Linked DNA regions of Neodiprion lecontei. The main gene of each other region encodes a partner of the protein of the gene in region 3 in a complex. Links are inferred from orthologs where the notes say so. Each region holds a gene or a part of one and is shown on either strand. Other genes may lie near its edges. The genes, in order: gamma-tubulin complex component 3, nucleoside diphosphate kinase 7 and gamma-tubulin complex component 4.

Region 1 (5,711 bases), on a different chromosome or scaffold from region 3:
TCAAATAAGTCATTGAAAACTTGAGATTCGTGGAATAATCGGTTGAAGAAGAAGGTAGTACGAAACTTTCTTTAAAATAAATCTGAGAAAAGAGAATAAACTCTGACCTGTTCACCTCCTCCTGCATGATAGCAATAAATCTATAATATTCCGAGAGTTCCTGATGCAGGGCAGCAACAAAGCTGTCTGCGACTCGTCCAGAGCATGCAGCAGACATTCTTTCCAGCCCGCGGCTGACAATGTTGTGAAGATAGCCAAGCGCGCTGAGCCTCAAGACACCCTGTCTGTGCGTTCTGTTTAATTTTGCTTTCGGGTCTATTTGGAATCCATAGCTCGAATCGAGCTTCAAAACCTTTCCCTCTATCCCCTGGAATGAGTAAATAAGATCCTGGACCAGCAGATCTTCGGACACTGACTCCTCGTTGAATATTCTTGCGGGATGTAGAGATGGGCCGCGAACTATCGTCTCTGTGTAACTCAATGGAAGCATCTGTCCCTGAGAGCACGAGACCTGTGAGGTCTGACCTAATTCAAAACAGATGATATGCAATAAGCAGGGATAAATTTTCAGGAAGCCTTTACGTGACTCAGAAACAATTAATGAAAGAATTGATACTATTTTATGATATGGAAGACGAAAATAAGCTAATAAGAAACTCGAATCTGTAAAAAAAACAATGTATAAGACTAAACAAAGACAATGCGATTGAATGATTGTATTATGTTTGTTTATTCTGATTAATCGATTAATTAGTCTTTCCAATTCATTGTTTTTCAGTGAATCGAATAATCGGCCCGGTTTATTAATCATATTTCCGATTAATTGGTGTTTCCAACTCCATTTTGTCAGTTAATCGAGTTAATAATCCTTTTAATTAACTGCTTCTTTAATTAATCAATTAACCGGCATTTTCAATTATTCACTTTTTCAATGAATCGATTATTCGGCACTTTATTCTTCGTACGCTTGATTAATCGTTTTTGCGAGTAATTAATGATTAGATCTTGACAAATATTTATTTTTTCGGCTAATGGTTTGTTTGGCATTATCATTTAATCGTTTTTCCAGTCATTCGACTCTTTCAATTAATTGCTTTCATAATTAATCAATGAAATGCACAGCCCTAAACAAAGCATTAATTACAGTAGAAACTCTATTATCCAAACCATGATCACCTTAACTAAACCATCTATTGTCCGAATCTCAAGTCAAATTGGCATGGAATATATATACATATATCGTAACATATATGTGCATTACATATTTATTGAATATTTTCTAGAGCTGATCATCGCGTCACTTAACATTACTGTTCAACTATCCAAATTTTTGATTATCGGAACCAGGCCTGGTCCAAATTGGTTCGAATAATCGATGTTTTACTGTATAGACGTTTTTCTTTTAGGTTTGGTATCTTTAAGAAAAAATTTTCCTTTTTTTTTGACAAGTTCAGAGTCATTTTTCCCATACTATTCTTAATTGAAAATTCGTAACGAAGTTAGAAAGCAACTGAATTTCTTTTTTTTACAATATCATCAATTAGAAGTGGCTTGTTAATGCGTCCGGCATCAAATGCATGTTGTCACAAATGCATTATTTGCTGTGTTAATCAGTTTCATTTATGAAATAGCACAAAACAAAAATTCAGAAACTGGTACAAATTCTGAGTTTCTTTACGCACGGCTGGTAGATGCGACAGGTGATGTCAGACCAAGCCTCATATCGGGGAACGAAAAATGCCTGTCCTTAGTCTGATCAGCGGTTTGTCCCATGTAAAGCAGAAAAGTCAGGATGCTGAGCCTGTTCTTTAGTGGCTGAAAAAATAAGGTTATAATATCAAGAATTTAGTTGATATGAAAGCAAAATAAACTACAAACAAATCAAACGCACCCCGTCCTTAAGGTCGTTGTGGAGTTTGTCGAACTGAACGGCATCGCGAACTTCAAGTTTTCCCTTGATCTGTACGGCAACATTCATTTCATCTTCTCGGAGTGTTTCGGCACCTGGAGACGAAGAGAGGAGTCCCAATGCGAAACGCACAAAGCGTCTTATAGCCTCTGCAAGTATTTAAACATGCAATTTTTAGTCTAAATTGATTGATGATGCTCTCCTCCTTTCACCTCTGATATATGGATCCTTAACAGGCATGTTTTAATTTAACAATAGGATTGTAAATGATCCGAAAATGTTGTGACCCTGCATAGAGGTAAGAATAATAATATCTCAATTTTTCCTTATATCAAAAAACGTTCAAGTCCCCGCCGAAGTGCTTGCTTTCTGCATTTGTTTTCTGCGATGCCATGGCAACAGCAGGAAAGAAAGATGCATCTGCATGCGAAAAATTTGGGATAGCTGAAAACTACGCGGCTGTAAATTGACAGTAATTTCTGATTATTATCATCCTTGAAAAATAAATTACGGTAATTAAAATATTGGTATCAACAAAAACCATCAAAGGAAAAATAAATATAATATAAGAAAGTAGGAATTAAGGTTTTTTTAACTTCTCGACACAATAAATAACAAGCTACACAAATTAAATATCCAATCGAGATAATAATGGTAGGTGAACTTTATTTTCAATTGTGTAGTGAAAAGATTTTATGCTGAAAATAGGAGCAGAGTATTTCGGCACATTGAGCATAGGTTTTTTAAACGTTTATATGGTTTTCGAATCGATAGTCATTTTCATTCCAACAAACTTATTGCTGATCTTGTTCGTCAGATTGTAAAAGCTATGCGAAATCAAATCTTTGGTAGATACTTTGTAGGAATTAAAAATTGAAAACCTTCTTTGCTTCGTTTGTTATTTCATTTATTTAAATAACATTTAGAGTTAAAAATAATTCTAGGGATGAAACCTAATCTATGACTGTTTCTGATTGTAAATATAATTTTAGTAGAGTTAAAATATAGCAATTAATGTCCAAAAATTATCACAAATGACTGTAAATGATGAAATGAGAAGTAAAAAAATTCCAATCGTCAATGTTTCAAGGTTTTATAAGGTCGAATAACGTGTACAACCAAATCTGGAGATTCTAACAAAGCTGAAATACATATTCAACGGGATTAAACACTTGCATAACATGTCATTGTGCTTAAACACAGACGTAATAAACTCGTAAAAACGATTGTGGCGAGCGGTTAGCCCGGCCTTAAACCAACCTAAGCTAATTTAACGTAACCTAACCTGGTTTCTGATCTCCCCAAAGAGAAACGACAAGTTTTTGGATGAGATCACTGATCGTCTCAACGTCAGGAACGCTCATTTTTATACTCTGTAGTGCAACTGATGCACTTCTACCAGGCTACGGCTGTTATTAAGTTTCTAATAATCATGCACATTTGTTTCCCAGAGAGTGACCATAGAGTGAGTGACACACGGGTGACAGGTAAGCAATTAACTATTTACAGGCGAGAAGCTAGCTTTTGGGCAATGTTGCCAACTTCGATTAGTTAACGCTGCAAATCGATGGCTAATAATCGATGTTTTCAGTATTTATCGTGGTAATTACAGAGAGAAACCTGTAATTATACCATACCGCTAGCCATTACGTAAGCATTACGTAAGCTAGACACGGAATACTACTGGGAGGCCTACCAAGGCCGTGTTCGTAAATTGACTGCCAGTACTAAAAATTCCCTAGGACAGAGACAGAGCCATCCATGAACTCGGCAGCACAAAAGAGATAAAAGATTGCTAACAGTACTGTGAGTCAATTTTCGAACACGGCCTAAATCTAGTCAAAGTCATGAACTTTCCCTTTAGAAATGTCGAATTATGGGCGAATCACTACATTTTTCAGTGAAAACACTGATTCATGTTCAAACCGTCAAAATTTTTCCACCAAAAACCTTCAAAAACCACCAGATCCAATCAAACACCACCAAGTTGGCAATGCTGGTGACGTTTTCACATCTTCCAGTCCCTGCATCGATAAAGCAGCACGTATCCGAAAAACTAAGCCGAAGGCAGTTGTAACGTTACTGTTTTGTCTCTATTTGGCGGGAAATATTGCGCGCGAGCAACAAGAAATAGCGCGGGAAACGGCCGAGAGTAAATACGATCATCTTTTATTACCGAACCGGTACGCAAACGACAAACAGATTTTTTCCCGCCACGTGATTGCCAAAGAAATGAGCATAAACCGGTTAATCGACGTATGAGCAAAATTTGGCGGCAACATCACCTTTTCCGATTGGCCATCACGGTCACGTGCCGCATTGTGTTGGCAAATTGGCCAACCAGAGAAATGAGAAGCGGAGCCTCGATGACTGAGAATCAGCAATCCGAAACCGTTTGTTAACTTGTCGTCAGAAGGTGATCAAAAGTAAACGATAATGGAACCTGAGCATAAATTGCCTGTAATCACCATGCCACTCCAAGTTTCGCAGAAAGAGAATGTTTCCCGAAAACTGGAAAGTCTGCAAATCAAGGAAAATGTAAGTCTGAGTATTTGTAGTGTTAAAAATCATATTTATTCACTGTTTCAAACTCACGCTTAGCGCGGAGCTTGTCTCATTCAGCAGCCTTTTGCAGCTGCGCGTGACGCGCGATAAGTGTTTTAACGTGTGCATTAATGCCGCAATTCACACAGTCACACATGCACATCGTTTTAATTTCCTTACGCGAGTTGTGCTCTAACCGCAAACTGCGTCACGACCTCGAAACGCTTAAATTCGCCAAAACTGGCTCTCAGTCTCACTTTTCGCTTCGCATATTCTGCTTAGTGAAACATCGTCATGCTTACATCCGCAGCTAATTCCACGGCGAAATCTGTAATCCCAGTTCCCACAGTAATCGACGAAATTTATGTCTGTGCAAATGCCAACGAGGACCTCAGGTTATCGGCCACTTTCCTTCTATTCTTTGCTCTCTCTACTACAATTTTTTACTGCGCTGTGAAGCGCAACTTCTTCAGTGCCTCCACTCACCACAAATCGTCTCTTTTCGCCTCCTCTGGTCATCACGATTACTGCAATTATCCTGTCGTACGTATCTACAAATGTTGATGCGAGGGATTGTTGACTTGAGAAAGCCATGAATACATGTTAATTGAAGAAACTAAGCAATTATTCAAATATTTCTTGAAATTACAAGCAATCTGTCAACATAATTAAAATCGTCTTAGAACGACTTGAAATGTTATGAAATCACATGATAGCGCTGAAGAATTCATCCAGCAACAAGTTTTGCAAATCGTTGTAGGTCTTGCGGTAAACTACAAATTATTTCAATTCATTAAAATCAATGTCCAGTCTTTTTATTGATTTCTATTTTACCATGTGCTGATTTTTAATTATTTGTTGTGATTTCCCGTGATCTTGTTGAATCTCAAAATCATTGAGAATTGCTTGGTCAACTGGAAATAAGCCACAATCAGATATGGTAGAAATCAGAGATAATCAATTCAAATCAATCATTTGATTCCCAAGTGAAGCCACAAAATTAATTAAAAAAAAAAAAAAAACCAAAAACACAACAAACCAGATTGAGTGTCTGGTTTTTATTTCTACTAATATATAAAGTTGCTAAGATGATGATATTGCATTTTAATACTTAGAAGAAAATAAGTTGTCTTGATGGATCAAATTAATCGAATGAAAGAAATTGCCATATTTTATCCTGAAAATAAAGACAAGACGTGCAAAAGTATTTTTTGTCGTTCTGTTGATTAATTGTACCATACACAGTTTGTATAAATGA
Region 2 (5,741 bases), on a different chromosome or scaffold from region 3:
TTATAATTGCCAATAATTATGTTAGGAAATTTGCAAATGAAAAATAGAGAGTCGCTGTTAATGAATATAGGAGATGATTGTGAGTGTAAAAAAATATTCTCATCCGGTAACGCCAGGATCATTTCTTTTTCTCCGTTTCTTTTCTTTCACATTTTTTATTTATTTTTTTTTATCCTCTTTTGCGACGAACGTATTCGAAACAAGCGAGGCTAATCACGAGTCCCTAATATACGTTTGGCAGATAGTTCAATAAATTTCATAAATAAACGCTGTACAGGTAATGCGAAATATTTACGGTTGTGTGGCCTCAATTTTGCACAGCGGCAAGGTAGGTAATTGAAATCGTTCAGCGAATAGTCCTAGTCATCAGTTTTTGCAGTGGCGTAATACAACATGATGCGTTCGTTCGCTCATTCGCGTGTTCCGTGTGTTCGAGTTGAATGTCTAATAACTTTACGTTCATTCGATCCTTCATTCGTCATCGACATCATCAACATCCGTTTCTTCCGTGCGAACGAATGAACGAAACCAAATCTTTACCGTATTTCGCACAGTTGCTGTAACATTGATTGATTTACCGATATGTATGCGTCGATCAATCGTGGCGTAACGAATGTTTGATCAGTTGAAATAAATGTGGTTTCACTTGATACACGAATCATTGTTTTGACTACTTTTTTGTTGAATTAAACAACATTTATTTAACTTGAAAAAATATTTCGTTTGTCATATTTGATCGCAATATCAGTTAAATTCAACAAATTCTTCTTATTTTCTGCGTGATACAGTGGAGGGACGGGTAAAAAAAAATTAGACAAATGATTTTTGATCGTAAATTCATGTCTATTTATTTTGAGTAGAAAAATATTTATGTACACGTATTATAACGAAGTTGTAATTTCCAATTTATGCAAGATTTGCGCGTGTAATAAAAGCGTTGAAATATCCTAGCTATCGGCCAGTATCTTGAAGAAATATTCAACCTGTAAAATAGAAAATATACACAGGAATCACAGTATGAAAGAAAGGATTTAATTTACTCAATTTACCTCCAGCAATCCATCCTCCGGCAAATCGGAACAGTGAACAGCATTTTGGACCTTGGTCTTTCCATACTTTGCTCTCAAGGTTTCCGGCCTCAATTGCCGCGCTATATCCTGAGAAATTAAAGTGAAAAGTCGCGCCAGTTTAGCGAATGAAATTTGACTGCCTCGCAAAATCAAGTATAAAACGTCAAGAGTAATAAATTCAAAAATAGTGGACATTGTTCTGGGAATAATTGAGCTGATTGATCAGACAAAGGGGGGAAAAAGAAGACTCACAGGATCCATGGGGCCACATAACTTCCTGAATTCCGTCGGAACATCCTTCTCACGGTGGCTGTGCGTTATCTCCATCGCAACGCAGGGTCCGGACTGCATTTCCGTGACCATTGCCTATTCGATGTAAACGGGATTGAATTATGTACTGTTCCGACAATTCTGAAGGTCATTATTATCGCAACGTTGAATGTTCTCACCCCATATTCGGGTAAAACTCCCTTATAGACCTCCAGAAATTCTTCGACGTTTGTGGGATCTACGTAAAACTGTTGCACAGCTGATATTGTGTATCCTGCCTTTTGTATATCGTCGATGATGTAACCTTCGTGTTGAGAATGTTATATTTTTAGTATGAAAATTTACTTGAATCGTCATTCGTCAAATAATTGTTATTTGATGTTCTTTATTTCCAGGAATCTGAATGCAAATACTTACCAATGAGGCGCGATTGAACGGCGTGCGGTTTTATCACACAGCAGGTGCAGTTCTTGAGCGTTGCGGTGTTCTTGATACTCCTGCTCCTGACCTTTTCATCAGGAAAGAAGTACCTCAATTCCTGTAAAGGTTTAAGTTCGGTTGACACGCTCTGAATTTCGCCGAGGAAAATTTGATCGAATTGTTCAACGTACTCTAGCTGCACTTTCCGAGGAATCTGACCCATGCACCGCATTGTAGACCTTGTCTTTGCCGTAACAAGCCCGAATAGTATTCTGAGCAGTTTCTCGAGCTTCCACGCTGTCCGTTGGTCCCATCAGCTCTCGCCATTTGTCAATTCCCTGTTCGCCGATAAGCTGGAGTGTCAAAATTGGACCTGACGTCATGTACTTCAGCAACATTCTGCAAAAACAGTGCGACATTGTCGGATTGAGGCCAAGGACCACCGAGTCGCAGACGCCTTGGTAAAAGAAATGGCGTTCAAAACTCACGGTAAGTCACTCTGTCCTCTATGTTTGTTATAAAATTCCTCAGCCTCGTCTCTGGTCATGTGAACCATTTTAACATTTCCTATGTGAAAGTTGTTCCTTGTTATCCGTTTCAATATTTCTCCCATTTTATCTATAGCATCCGGTTTGATTATCGCCAAAGTTCTGGAATGTTGAATTTACCTAGGCTCTAGCATTATATACAAACTCAAACGTCGAGATACCGATTTACCTTTCCATCTGATCGGCAAGTTTCGCCTTGGTCGCGCCATCTGCAAAATCCTTTATCTTGAGGCATCGTGAAAATATGTGTACCATCCCTCCGATGTAAAAATCTTTGGCAGTAATTCCTTGACATTTCGTTCGGCGTAGGAATACTTTCCTATTCTTAATATCGTACTGTGAAAACAGTAGAAAAGAAACTGATTTAATTGTTTGTCGTTCTTAGTATCATTCTTTACCTCTTGCCTTGTTGGGAATAGTATATCGATTACCGCGCTTACAATTTCTACCGTATTATCTGCAGGAAAGTAGTAGAGGAGAAACTTTTTCAGGAGCGACGCAACCGGGTCGAACCATTCGGCTTCAAAAGTATGTTTCTCGCTATAATCGGACGACATTTTCCTCTTACGTTCCTCCAAATTTACTTCACGCTACAGAGGCTAAAAAGATTTAGAATTGTTGTTTAATTGAGATGCGGCGCGATTATTCTTGGCCAATAACATGGTCAATGATTGGCACAGTGATCAGAAAAATTAAATTCTTGGTCATATTTCTTGAGTAAAAATCACAATAAGCGAATCGATTAAGTTGCAAACAAGAACTTACGGATACACTGAGAAATAGTTTGATGCGACTAATTTATTTAACAGTCGAAATATTTTCTATTCTCCTATCAGGTAACTGCAAAAACGAATAAATTTACGATCAGAGTACGACTTGCATGCGCTTGCACCACAGCTTACACTACTGACAGTTTCGTTTCCATGACAACTACGAATCTTGCTGGTCCTTTCATTCTCGGTACTGAATCTGTGTTCTACGATTTTTTCAGATGTGCCTAGATGCCGCTACTGTTGAAAAATATACGGATTGAGGAGCAAACCAAAGGGTTCCACGACTACACGAATGCATCTCACGTTGCCGGCAATCAGGCGCAGCACACACCGCGAATACTGCGGACGACTCTGCGGAAATATATTTTGTTTTTCAACACTATATTAATGAAATGTGAGATTCGTTGATTCTTGACTCAAAGTTGAGTTAATGTCTCAAACTCGATTGTGATACTATGTGTAATGATGCGTAAGAATTGATCATTGATTATGACACGTTGTTAAATGTAATGAATGTAGTACAGTGATTATGTTTACCTCGGAATTTGAAATTCGGATACTGAGAAAATGATACATTGTATTTACATGCTGAAATATATTTGCTTGTTCAGATTGTGTAATCAAAGTGAATTCATTGATAGTTACTATAAATACCTAATACTAGATATATCAATTTGATATAGATATTTGATATGGAGAAGGAGCGTAGGACCAAGAGGAGAGATATGGCGTGCAGAAAAAAAACCTGCTGAAAGATGTCGAAAACTCAGGTTCTCGTTTTTTGGCTGTAACTTTTGATGCGTCGATCGCAGCGTAGTGGGACTGCGCCCAATCGATTTTTCTCGCAAAATTACGTCGGAATAGTGCATAAACGAATTTATTCCAGCACTTTCTGAAATCGCGAGAATTTTCGCCAAAAATGCAAAGGGGTTAGCCTTACTTTTTTTTTTGGCAAAAAACTTTTGGTCTCAGATTCGATTTAGACGATCCTTATCCGACCAATTGGACCCTCAGGAACTCAGAAATCGCAGCGAAAATGGCGTAGGACCAACAGGAGAGAAATGGCGAGCGAAAAAGCACCTGCTGAAAAATGTCGAAAATTCAGGTTCTGGTTTTTTGGCTGTAACTTTTGATGCGTTGATCGCAGCGTATTGGGACTGCGCCCAATCGAATCCTCTCGCAAAATTACGTCCGATCAGTGCTACAATTACTTGATTCCTGCACTTTTCAAAATCGCGAAAATTTTTGCCAAAAATGGAAAGGGGTTAGCCTTACTTTTTTTTTAGACAAAAAACTTTTGGTCTCAGATTCGATTTAAACGATCCTTGTCCGACCAATTGGACCCTCAGGAACTCAGAAATCGCAGCGAAAATGGCGTAGGACCAACAGGAGAGAAATGGCGAGCGAAAAAGCACCTGCTGAAAAATGTCGAAAATTCAGGTTCTGGTTTTTTGGCTGTCACTTTTGATGCGTTGATCGCAGCGTATTAGGACAGCGCCCAATCGATTTCTCTCGCAAAATTACGTCCGATCAGTGCTACAATTAATTGATTCCAGCACTTTTCAAAATCGCGAAAATTTTTGCCAAAAATGGAAAGGGGTTAGCCTTACTTTTTTTTTTGACAAAAAACTTTTGGTCTCAGATTCGATTTAAACGATCCTTGTCCGACCAATTGGACCCTCAGGAACTCAGAAATCGCAGCGAAAAGAGCGTAGGACCAACAGGAGAGAAATGGCGAGCAAAAAAGCACCTGCTGAAAAATGTCGAAAATTCAGGTTCTGGTTTTTTAAATGTAACTTTTAATGCGTTGATCGCAGCGTATTGGGACAGCGCCCAATCGATTTCTCTAGCAAAATTACGTCCGATCAGTGCTACAATTACTTGATTCCAGCACTTTTTAAAATCGCGAAAATTTTCGCCAAAAATGGAAAGGGGTTAGCCTTACTTTTTTTTTTGGCAAAAAACTTTTGGTCTCAGATTTGATTCAAACGATCCCTATCCGACCAATTCCACCCTCAGGAACTCAGAAATCGCAGCGAAAAGAGCGTAGGACCCGCAGGAGAGAAATGGCGACCGAAAAAGCACCTGCTGAAAAATGTCGAAAATTCGGGTTCTGGTTTTTTGGCTGTAACTTTTGACGCGTTGATCGCAGCGTATTGGGACAGCGCCCAATCGATTTCTCTCGCAAAATTACGTACGATCAGAGCTACAATCAATTGATTCCAGCACTTTTCAAAATCGCGAAAATTTTCGCCAAAAATGGAAAGGGGTTAGCCTTACTTTTTTTTTTGGCAAAAAACTTTTGGTCTCAGATTCGATTTAAACGATCCTTATCCGACCAATTGGATCCTCAGGAACTCAGAAATCACTGCGAAAAGAGCGTAGGACCAACAGGAGAGAAATGGCGAGCGAAAAAGCACCTGCTGAAAAATGTCGAAAATTCAGGTTCTGGTTTTTTGGCTGTAACTTTTGATGCGTTGATCGCAGCGTATTGGGACTGCGCCCAATCATATTCTCGCGCAAAATTACGTCCGATCAGTGCTACAATCAATTGATTCCAGCACTTTTCAAAATCGCGAAAATTTTCGCCAAAAATGGAAAGGGGTTAGCCTTACTTTTTTTTTTGGCAAAAAACTTTTGGTCTCAGATTCGATGTAGAC
Region 3 (7,756 bases):
TCATTGTATGATATATTAAATTTGTATTTAATTACTCCCAGTTGAAGAACAAACACAAGAAGTCGAGTTACCACTCCATGAAGCTGCAAGACGTGGCAATATATCATTCTTAAGAGAATGCTTGAAAGGTGGAGTCTCAGGTACTGGCTTAGACTCTGCCGGAAATGTTCCATTATATTGGGCCTCTAGAGCAGGCCATATCGATTGTGTTAAAGAGCTCTTGAGTCTGCCTAATCCTGCAGTCGATGCACAGGTATAAGACTTAGAATAATGAAAATATGTATCAAAAGATTATAGAAATAAATAGTGAATTGGTCTATTCCAGAATAAAATGGGAGATACACCATTACATGCAGCAGCAAACCATGGACATTTAGAAGTTGTAGAGATGTTGCTGGAAGCTGGAGCTGATGCTAGTCTTAAGAACAGTGATAATTTAATACCAGAAGAACTGGCTAGCAACGCAGCAGTTATAAATACTATACAAATGAGTTACAGGGAATATTCTGCTAATCATTGTTACGATGATAATGACTATGAAGATGAGAGTGATTAATGAAGAAAGGAGCACTCATAAAGGAGTGCTAATAAGTAACCTTTCCTGATGTACGTTAATTCTCTTATGAGCTGTCTCTTCATTGAACATATTACAGGAAAAAAAAAAGGAATTCTGTGTTCATTGTAAGACAAAAGTGATACAATGTAAGTTTAACTGTGAAAAGTTCAGCCTGCATAATAACACACATACCATTCCGAATGTGAGCTCGAAAATACTATTATTATTGTAGCTTCAAGTACGTATTTTACATCGAGGATCTCAACAGAGTACTTCTACCAGGGTATTAATGAATTCTTTAGTATAGTGTATTTTGAAATTTTACAATGTTAAAATTAGAAATGAGTCATTACGTTGAAAATTTTATCAAGAAATAACGTTTTTATTAATTTATAGTTTAGATATAATACATCTGTTTTCGAATTTCATCCGTAAGCTGTGAAAGTATTGCCGATATGTATTTAATTTTGGAGAGTTTAATAAATACTGATATAATAGGTAAATTCATTCTCATAACTAACAATGAAGTAAATAAGTGATTAGGAAAAGACTGAGTATTATTCAAGATATATTCAACAATATGTTAGAGAATCAAGCATTGCTTACCCACTAACAATACCGTAATCGTACTTACTCTAATTAATGTCATGCCATTTGCTTACAAAACAAAATAAGATTCACTTCATGTTTCTGTACCATGCAAAATAATTTACAATACAACTTGCAGCTGAGTTCAGTAATTTCACACTTGAGTAACTCGACGTACTCGAAATTATTACTATGCATGCTTTGCTATTAGTAAATACCTGTGCAGAGCAAATCGTGGTAACTCAAAACAATTAACCAACTTGCCTTGTGCATTATATAAAAAAATTTTGGTCATCATTTTTGTTCAATATGAACAAGTTTGCTGAAACTATTCAAGATTTTCCACTGAACCATCTATTGAAATCAAGTCGCAGTAATAGCTGTGCCAAATGTGTCCCTGCTGGTTGCGCCCGTACTTTGTTCAAAGTTTTTGTTAGCCAATCCATAAGACTATTTAAAGTGTCGGCTAATGCTTTGAGTTCTTCTTTTTCAGTTACTAGTAAATTACCCAATTCCCACATGGGTGCTTGCAGTATGAAATCGTCGCACAGCCGTAACAATATTTTTATCAACTTGTTGACCTAAAAAATTTAGTTGTTTGTACAAGAGTATAAATATATCTGATCCTAGTTTAACTGATGCTGATTAGTTGCAAACATATGTGCTACATCGAAATGTACTGTGATATTTAAAATATGTAACTCGAAAAGAAGTGAATAATTTGGAAAGAAACTTACTGGGTTGACTTTATCACTGGAACCTTGGAACAGAAAAGTTTGTGACATAATGTTGGCTAGAAATACAGAATGTCCTTTTTGAATCTCCTCAAAGTTGCGCGTATTTTTCATAGTATTTTCCATAATTGTGTACTGACTTTCTAGTACATCTACTTGTAAATAATACTGTAAGTTGTTGATAACAAACATCAAGTTGTTTCTCAACTGCATCACTCCAATATCACTGTTTGGAAATACATTAAAAGTTAGTTACGTATTTACAAGAGATTCGAAATTCCTACTTTTGAAGTAATGCCAATATGTGTTTAATTTTTTCGCGACATGAAGTAAATACTGGTGTGGTCGGTCAATTCATTCTCACTACTAACAATAAATAAATGAACTTACACATTTTTTGTTCGCATATGTTCGGACCATAGATTTTGTAAATTAATTTGTGTTTTTTTTACTCTCAACAAAAATCGAAATAATGTATTGTAATCGCACAACGCCATTGGACTGAACAACAAATGTAATGGCCAGACTACTTTGTACTGAAGCTGAATCAGTCCCCATCCTCTTGTGTCTGCAATTAAAAATTTCATGGTCAATTCATGCAAAATGTTGACATTAGTCATGATTCAGCAATATTAATGGGAATGGTTTATTTACCAATGGGGTCTTCGCGTTCTCTTCTTGAAAATTCACCATCTTCTGGATCTTCACCAACTTCATTTTCAATCTCTGGGACAGGAACAAGAAAGTCAAAACTTTCCGTTGTGCTCTCATCATGTAGGAGCATTTTCCGTGCAGCTATTTGGAATGATAAATTTATATCCCTGGTGGTATGACTAGTCGGTTTTTTATTTAATATGTGACCTGCTAATCTAATAAATTCAAGGAACAATTCACCACGACCGAGTAAAAAAAAGTCTTTTATCAGTTTAATTTGATGCATAAGCTGTGCTTCTTCAACCGCAACTCTCCATAAGTGTTCAGTGACACACTGTTTGAGTTCATCAACAGTTCTTTCAAATTCAATTATATCAAAAGTTCTTTTATTTTTCAAATTTTGTAACTCGTGAAAATGCTCGTACTCTTTTGCACCCCATATTGAGTTTTCAGCCTTTGTGAATATACTCAGATCTGGAAATTAAAGTGTTAATTCGTTTTAGAAAAAATTTCTCTATTTCATCTATTTCGAAAATTTAGAAAACTCCAAATATTTTTAATAGAATTGTATGTAAAAACAAATCAGTTTAATACACATCTGTTGCAGTGGATGATAGGTTTAGTGATTCAAGCACAATAACACTAAAAGTATACCTTTCTTTTGTCTGGGATCATTTCCAAACATGATAATAGTTTGACCAATGGTCAATATTTTAAGCGCTAATGATGGCCTTATATAAGATGGCAGTACATGGATTTTTATTTCGTAATCCCACATGTCTGCACATAAATTTTTTGATGATTTTTCATCTGCTATACCAGAACTGTCTTTACTCTTAGCTAGAACCAAACTATCCTGTGGTTTAGATGCTCTTTGAATAAAAAATTCGTTATGAACATCTTCCAGAATTCCGTATAAGAGCCAACTGGATAGTTGTTTATAAAACACGACATGACAGCAATACATCATCCTGAAAGTATATCAAATTGATCGATAATATGAGTCATTTTTAATTTTATAAAAATAGAAGAATCTTTGAGCTCACATACTTTTCTAAAGCCTGCCGCACTTCAGGTACCCCAGTGTGCATGTGTTGATGCAAGTATTGTAATACTTTACAGCCATGAACTTTTTGGGTTCGAATCTAAAACAGTACATGTATCACACATAATGTTTCTTTACTTTGACCTTTCATCTATATTCCTGATTGATAACAAGTGATTTTAAAGTATATAATTCCGACCAATTTTTGTTTTAACTAAAACAAAACGCAAATATGAGTCAACAATTCAGAGATATGTGTACCTCACTTATTATGGAATTCAGAACTGAGAATAAACAGAGATATTTTTGTATTCGTGATAGTATGAAGGTCAATGGCGTGTACGCGTCATTCAGCACGATTTTTTCCAATTCGATAACATCTTCGCGAAACGGCTGTATTGCTTGTTCCATACCGTCACATAAGGCCTGCAGATAAAGGCCCCATTTCAAATTTCCTGTGTAAGCAAAATAGCATCATGTCAATCGTATTGCAATCAGACAGTTATAAAGCATTAACCTTGATATAGTCGAAGATGTTTTAAATTTGTCAATTGTGGGTTAGTGAAAATTCTTGAAGAAATGTTGATAGTGTGTAATTCAGATATTTTGCATGAACAAATCTTGCTAGTTTACTTTTAATGTGAATGTTATTTGGTAATATATTGTACCAGTTGCGTCATTCGGAGCACCAATAACAGACGTATGGGCATTTATAAAATTTCTCACTGCATTACATTCCTCCGCAATGCCTAGAATTTTTTTAATCAAAGCTTGCTCTCCAGGGTGTAGAAGCTTTTCGGTTTCTAAAAACTGTAAACATAGTTTGTCAGATTTTGGAGGTTATATCTTGACAACTGTCAACTCCATAAACGATGCAGTTCTTACATCAGTGTCTATAATTTGTACGACATTAGTCGTGCAACCCCAAAGAGACAATAAAACTTCGTGCAGCATTTCTTTCGCTTCAAAAACACATTTAACAATAAGATCCGTCTACCCAGTCCAGGTTGTTTGGAGCTGTTCGAGCATTGAAGTCTGATTAAATTTGATTTGAGAACACGTCTGAATCATTGGTGTAAACGCATCCACTTCCGAGTTCAAGTGCATCGTCAATTGCACGACCGTGTTTGCATGCGTGTATCGGCATTTAAGGGAAGAAACTTCTCGAGAAATTAGTTAAAATCAGCGGGAGGTAGATATTTATTGAATTTTTTGATTTTCTCTCAAATTTCTCATTAACCTTTGGTGTATCTGTGGAAATCAAAGCACACTTGTTTGCTACAGTCTGCAATGCAAACCGCAATTCGAAAATTGCTATGCCATAGACAATTCCAATTAATCTGCCAATGCAAAAACAATATTTGTAAACATTATAACAACTTCTCGGTAACAATTTGTGAAACGATGGACACTGTTGGAGACTGCCAGCTAGCCCTGCGTTATTTTTGATAGTAATTTGCCAGCTCTACTGGGCAGGTTTGGGTGTAATTCCACTACCCTGCACTTAACAACTGACTCGTCTCATCCCAATCCGCGGGATCCTAATGCAAGATCAAGTCGGCGTAGCAGAATATTGTAACGTTCCCCCTCGCCCTTCAGCAGTCCATAAGGCTAGCAGTTTCGAATATCTTTAGTCAAAAATTGAAGGAACGAAATTGAATGTTCCGAAATACCAGGAATCTTCAAGTTTGTAAAACTTCCGGTTTAGTCGTAGGCATGTCGTAGGTAAGATTTTAATGTTCTTGACTCTTACATGATTGTTCCGTTCTAACTAGTTATAGCAACGTTCAGAATGCGCGTGAATTATTGCCCTACAATAAGAATAATCCTCTACCGTTGACAGATATTCTACAGTTATCAAATTGATTTTTTTGTGTGCATATATAATATAATATACATCTTTATATCAGAGAAAAATCTTTTCTATAATGTTTTACAGTCGTTCTCATAGCCCTGTTGCATGAAAATTACACAGATGGCGCACGTGGACATTGGCTAGCGGTCTATGGCTACCCATATAGAAGGGTGTGTTCCGAAATGAGCTGCGACCGTTGATAATTCATTAACTAGAAACAGAACTGGTGGTCAAACTTGAAATACAACAAAGATAAAAGATTGCTGACAGTACTGTCAACTAATTTTGGAGCATAGCCTTGGAAAAAGATAAATTTTCGGAGTAAACGCAGCCAGTACGCAGTCTATTCCGAACAATTTCAAATAATTGTTTAAATTTCACTTCCAAGTCTTAACTTGAAGGAAACTTGAATAATTCCATGAACCCAGACGTATTGTGATCGTCAAAGGCCACTAAAAGCTTTTCCAAAATACAATAACAATTAAGATAAGGAGTGATCAGTCTTCTGTGACGCTGGACATAAAAGTGCTCAGCATATTACAGCGAAAATAAAAATTTCGGCGTACAACGCGGGAAACGAACGGGAATTTTCTTCAAGTGGTGGGAAGCACAGCAGACAAGACGGCTTCGCAAAAAAAATCGTCGAGGAAGATGGCGGATACGGAAGAACTGAAGGTAGGACGAGAATAAAATAGATCTTATTATCTTGACTTAAACGAGCCACATGTTAAATGCCTTCCAGAAACTTGAGTCATTGATTTTTCCGTGTCTTATTTTTCACCAATTATCGAACATTCACATATCCAAACTCTTCCAATGTCTTGCCAACGCAAGCAAGGCTGCGTTTGATCATACTAAGCGACATTTATTTTCACACGCGGCTTTTCGCTTTTCTTCACATTCGTCCAATTTCCAACTTCCATATTTTCGTAAACGTATCTTCATTCAATTCGGAAACTTCTCGTGTATCTCAAGCATAACACAGGAATGCGGATACGAGACGGCAAGTAGGAGCAACTGATAACTACAATGGGTAACCTCTATCTCTAGCTTATGCATCACGCTATTCAAATAATCAACATATTTTACTCTACAAAATTTTTTGGAATTGCCTCCCCATCTATCTACTTTGGGCACAAGAGTTTACTTTTGTGCACTTCGTATATGGCAGGTTGGGAAAAATTGTCATATTTGATTATATATTTTTCCGACTAGTACTATAGAGTGTAATAACATTTGAGAATATAGCTAGACAGAAACGGTACGATTTTCTAGCAGGAAGAATTTGTCGTTATTGCCTAATGTTGTTATCATTAAAGACATTTTCTCATTCTGTGAAGTCTCAGTTTGTCTATAATTATCTTGGGCTATTATGGCTATAAAAATGTCAATTGTCTATTTCAGAGTATGGTATTAAGTTTTCGAGTATCTGAACTTCAGATGCTTTTGGGTTTTGCTGGGCGAAACAAATCAGGTCGAAAAAACGAACTTCAAACACGAGCTTTGGAACTATTACGCCTTCGATCCCATCCTGTGCAGCTAAAAATTCGCGACCTTTATAGAACCATACAGTAAGCCAATATTTATACCAATTTTCATTCCCTTTGGCTAGATATCTGTCAGAACAATAATACTTAAGGATTACATCAAACGTGTAACAGCTGTCACAGTTCATAATTAAACAGCCATGTTCTAATAAAATGAATGGAACCAGTTTGAAACGGTGATACTTTGCTGATTTATTAATAAATACACATAGTTCTTTCTTTCACTCATATTGTCAGTACAATAAAAATCTGTGTCACAGGCAAGATCAACTTGCCGCACATCAGCTGTATGGTCAAGGTGGCGACAACGGTGAGCCTCAAATCGATCAAAACATGCATTCCCGTAACTATTATACAAGGTAAGTCAGAGTTACATTAACTATGTCACTTCTAAGATATCCATTGACTCTGTAAGGAGTAGGAACATGTTTATTTGTTTGTTCCTGAATCTTAATCCAATTGTTTTAGGCAAGGCCATGCTCAGGCAATGAGTCAACAACAGCAGGCCCAATCATCTATTTCAAGTGGGAAGGATTTGCCCCCGGCGCATCAGGCATCGATGCCTCAATCCCAAGTGGCACCGAGAACATCATCTGTTTACCAACCAACTGGATACACCAGTGTTACACCGCAGGTAGATTTGGTTTTCATTTGAAGATAATTGAAGTACTTATTTTGTGAAGTGCTAAACTATCTGTTAATTTCAGCAACGCTCGTCTAGTGCTGTTTATAATCCTTATCCCTATCCAACAAAAGTACTACCGCCTCCCCTGCAAT

Evidence for each region.
Region 1: the proteins of gamma-tubulin complex component 4 (region 3) and gamma-tubulin complex component 3 are in contact, whole or in part, in a cryo-EM structure (PDB 7QJ0), measured with the Homo sapiens proteins. The link is inferred for Neodiprion lecontei from reciprocal best matches to the Homo sapiens genes TUBGCP4 and TUBGCP3. Residues at the interface, in NP_001273343.1 of Homo sapiens: His35, Pro36, Ser37, Glu38, Ser40, Val41, Arg44, His116, Leu117, Ser118, Ser120, His121, Tyr124, Phe125, Asp127, Gln128, Leu131, Pro134, Lys159, His160, Cys162, Gly163, Gly164, Leu165, Pro166, Arg169, Leu630, Ser631; in NP_006313.1 of Homo sapiens: Arg252, Asp253, Tyr256, Gln259, Ile261, Asp262, Lys264, Arg305, Ser312, Leu313, Arg315, Leu319, Gln322, Ser323, Cys325, Ala326, His329, Arg333, Tyr336, Arg337, Ser340, His343, Ser344, His424, Pro425, Tyr593, His595.
Region 2: gamma-tubulin complex component 4 (region 3) and nucleoside diphosphate kinase 7 share a complex: the UniProt entries of both Homo sapiens proteins name them as parts of the gamma-tubulin ring complex. The link is inferred for Neodiprion lecontei from reciprocal best matches to the Homo sapiens genes TUBGCP4 and NME7.

What each region holds. Positions count from the first base shown.
Region 1 is NC_060264.1:20,999,633-21,005,343, forward strand, and holds the start of gamma-tubulin complex component 3, read right to left. Parts: upstream 3,402-5,711; 5' UTR 3,274-3,401; coding exon 3,195-3,273; intron 2,059-3,194; coding exon 1,892-2,058; intron 1,817-1,891; exon of another isoform or gene 1,816-1,816; coding exon 1,683-1,815; intron 526-1,682; coding exon 108-525; intron 1-107. Other genes in the region: ribonucleoside-diphosphate reductase subunit M2, read left to right, coding at 4,748-4,996. UniProt on the Homo sapiens protein: Component of the gamma-tubulin ring complex (gTuRC) which mediates microtubule nucleation.
Region 2 is NC_060262.1:3,443,791-3,449,531, forward strand, and holds nucleoside diphosphate kinase 7, read right to left. Parts: upstream 3,279-5,741; 5' UTR 3,074-3,278; intron 2,908-3,073; 5' UTR 2,866-2,907; coding exon 2,749-2,865; intron 2,645-2,748; coding exon 2,478-2,644; intron 2,411-2,477; coding exon 2,249-2,410; exon of another isoform or gene 2,160-2,248; coding exon 1,952-2,159; exon of another isoform or gene 1,879-1,951; coding exon 1,758-1,878; exon of another isoform or gene 1,736-1,757; intron 1,645-1,735; coding exon 1,520-1,644; intron 1,488-1,519; exon of another isoform or gene 1,437-1,487; coding exon 1,323-1,436; intron 1,158-1,322; coding exon 1,050-1,157; intron 984-1,049; coding exon 948-983; 3' UTR 812-947; downstream 1-811. UniProt on the Homo sapiens protein: Possesses an intrinsic kinase activity. Displays 3'-5' exonuclease activity with a preference for single-stranded DNA. Does not seem to have nucleoside diphosphate kinase activity.
Region 3 is NC_060260.1:32,567,512-32,575,267, forward strand, and holds gamma-tubulin complex component 4, read right to left. Parts: upstream 5,238-7,756; 5' UTR 4,532-5,237; coding exon 4,463-4,531; intron 4,388-4,462; coding exon 4,246-4,387; intron 4,033-4,245; coding exon 3,839-4,032; intron 3,678-3,838; coding exon 3,583-3,677; intron 3,504-3,582; coding exon 3,187-3,503; intron 3,007-3,186; coding exon 2,533-3,006; intron 2,447-2,532; coding exon 2,269-2,446; intron 2,105-2,268; coding exon 1,882-2,104; intron 1,726-1,881; coding exon 1,477-1,725; 3' UTR 882-1,476; downstream 1-881. Other genes in the region: osteoclast-stimulating factor 1, read left to right, coding at 42-253, 326-556; E3 SUMO-protein ligase PIAS2, read left to right, coding at 6,157-6,435, 6,837-7,003, 7,240-7,338, 7,448-7,613, 7,687-7,756. UniProt on the Homo sapiens protein: Component of the gamma-tubulin ring complex (gTuRC) which mediates microtubule nucleation.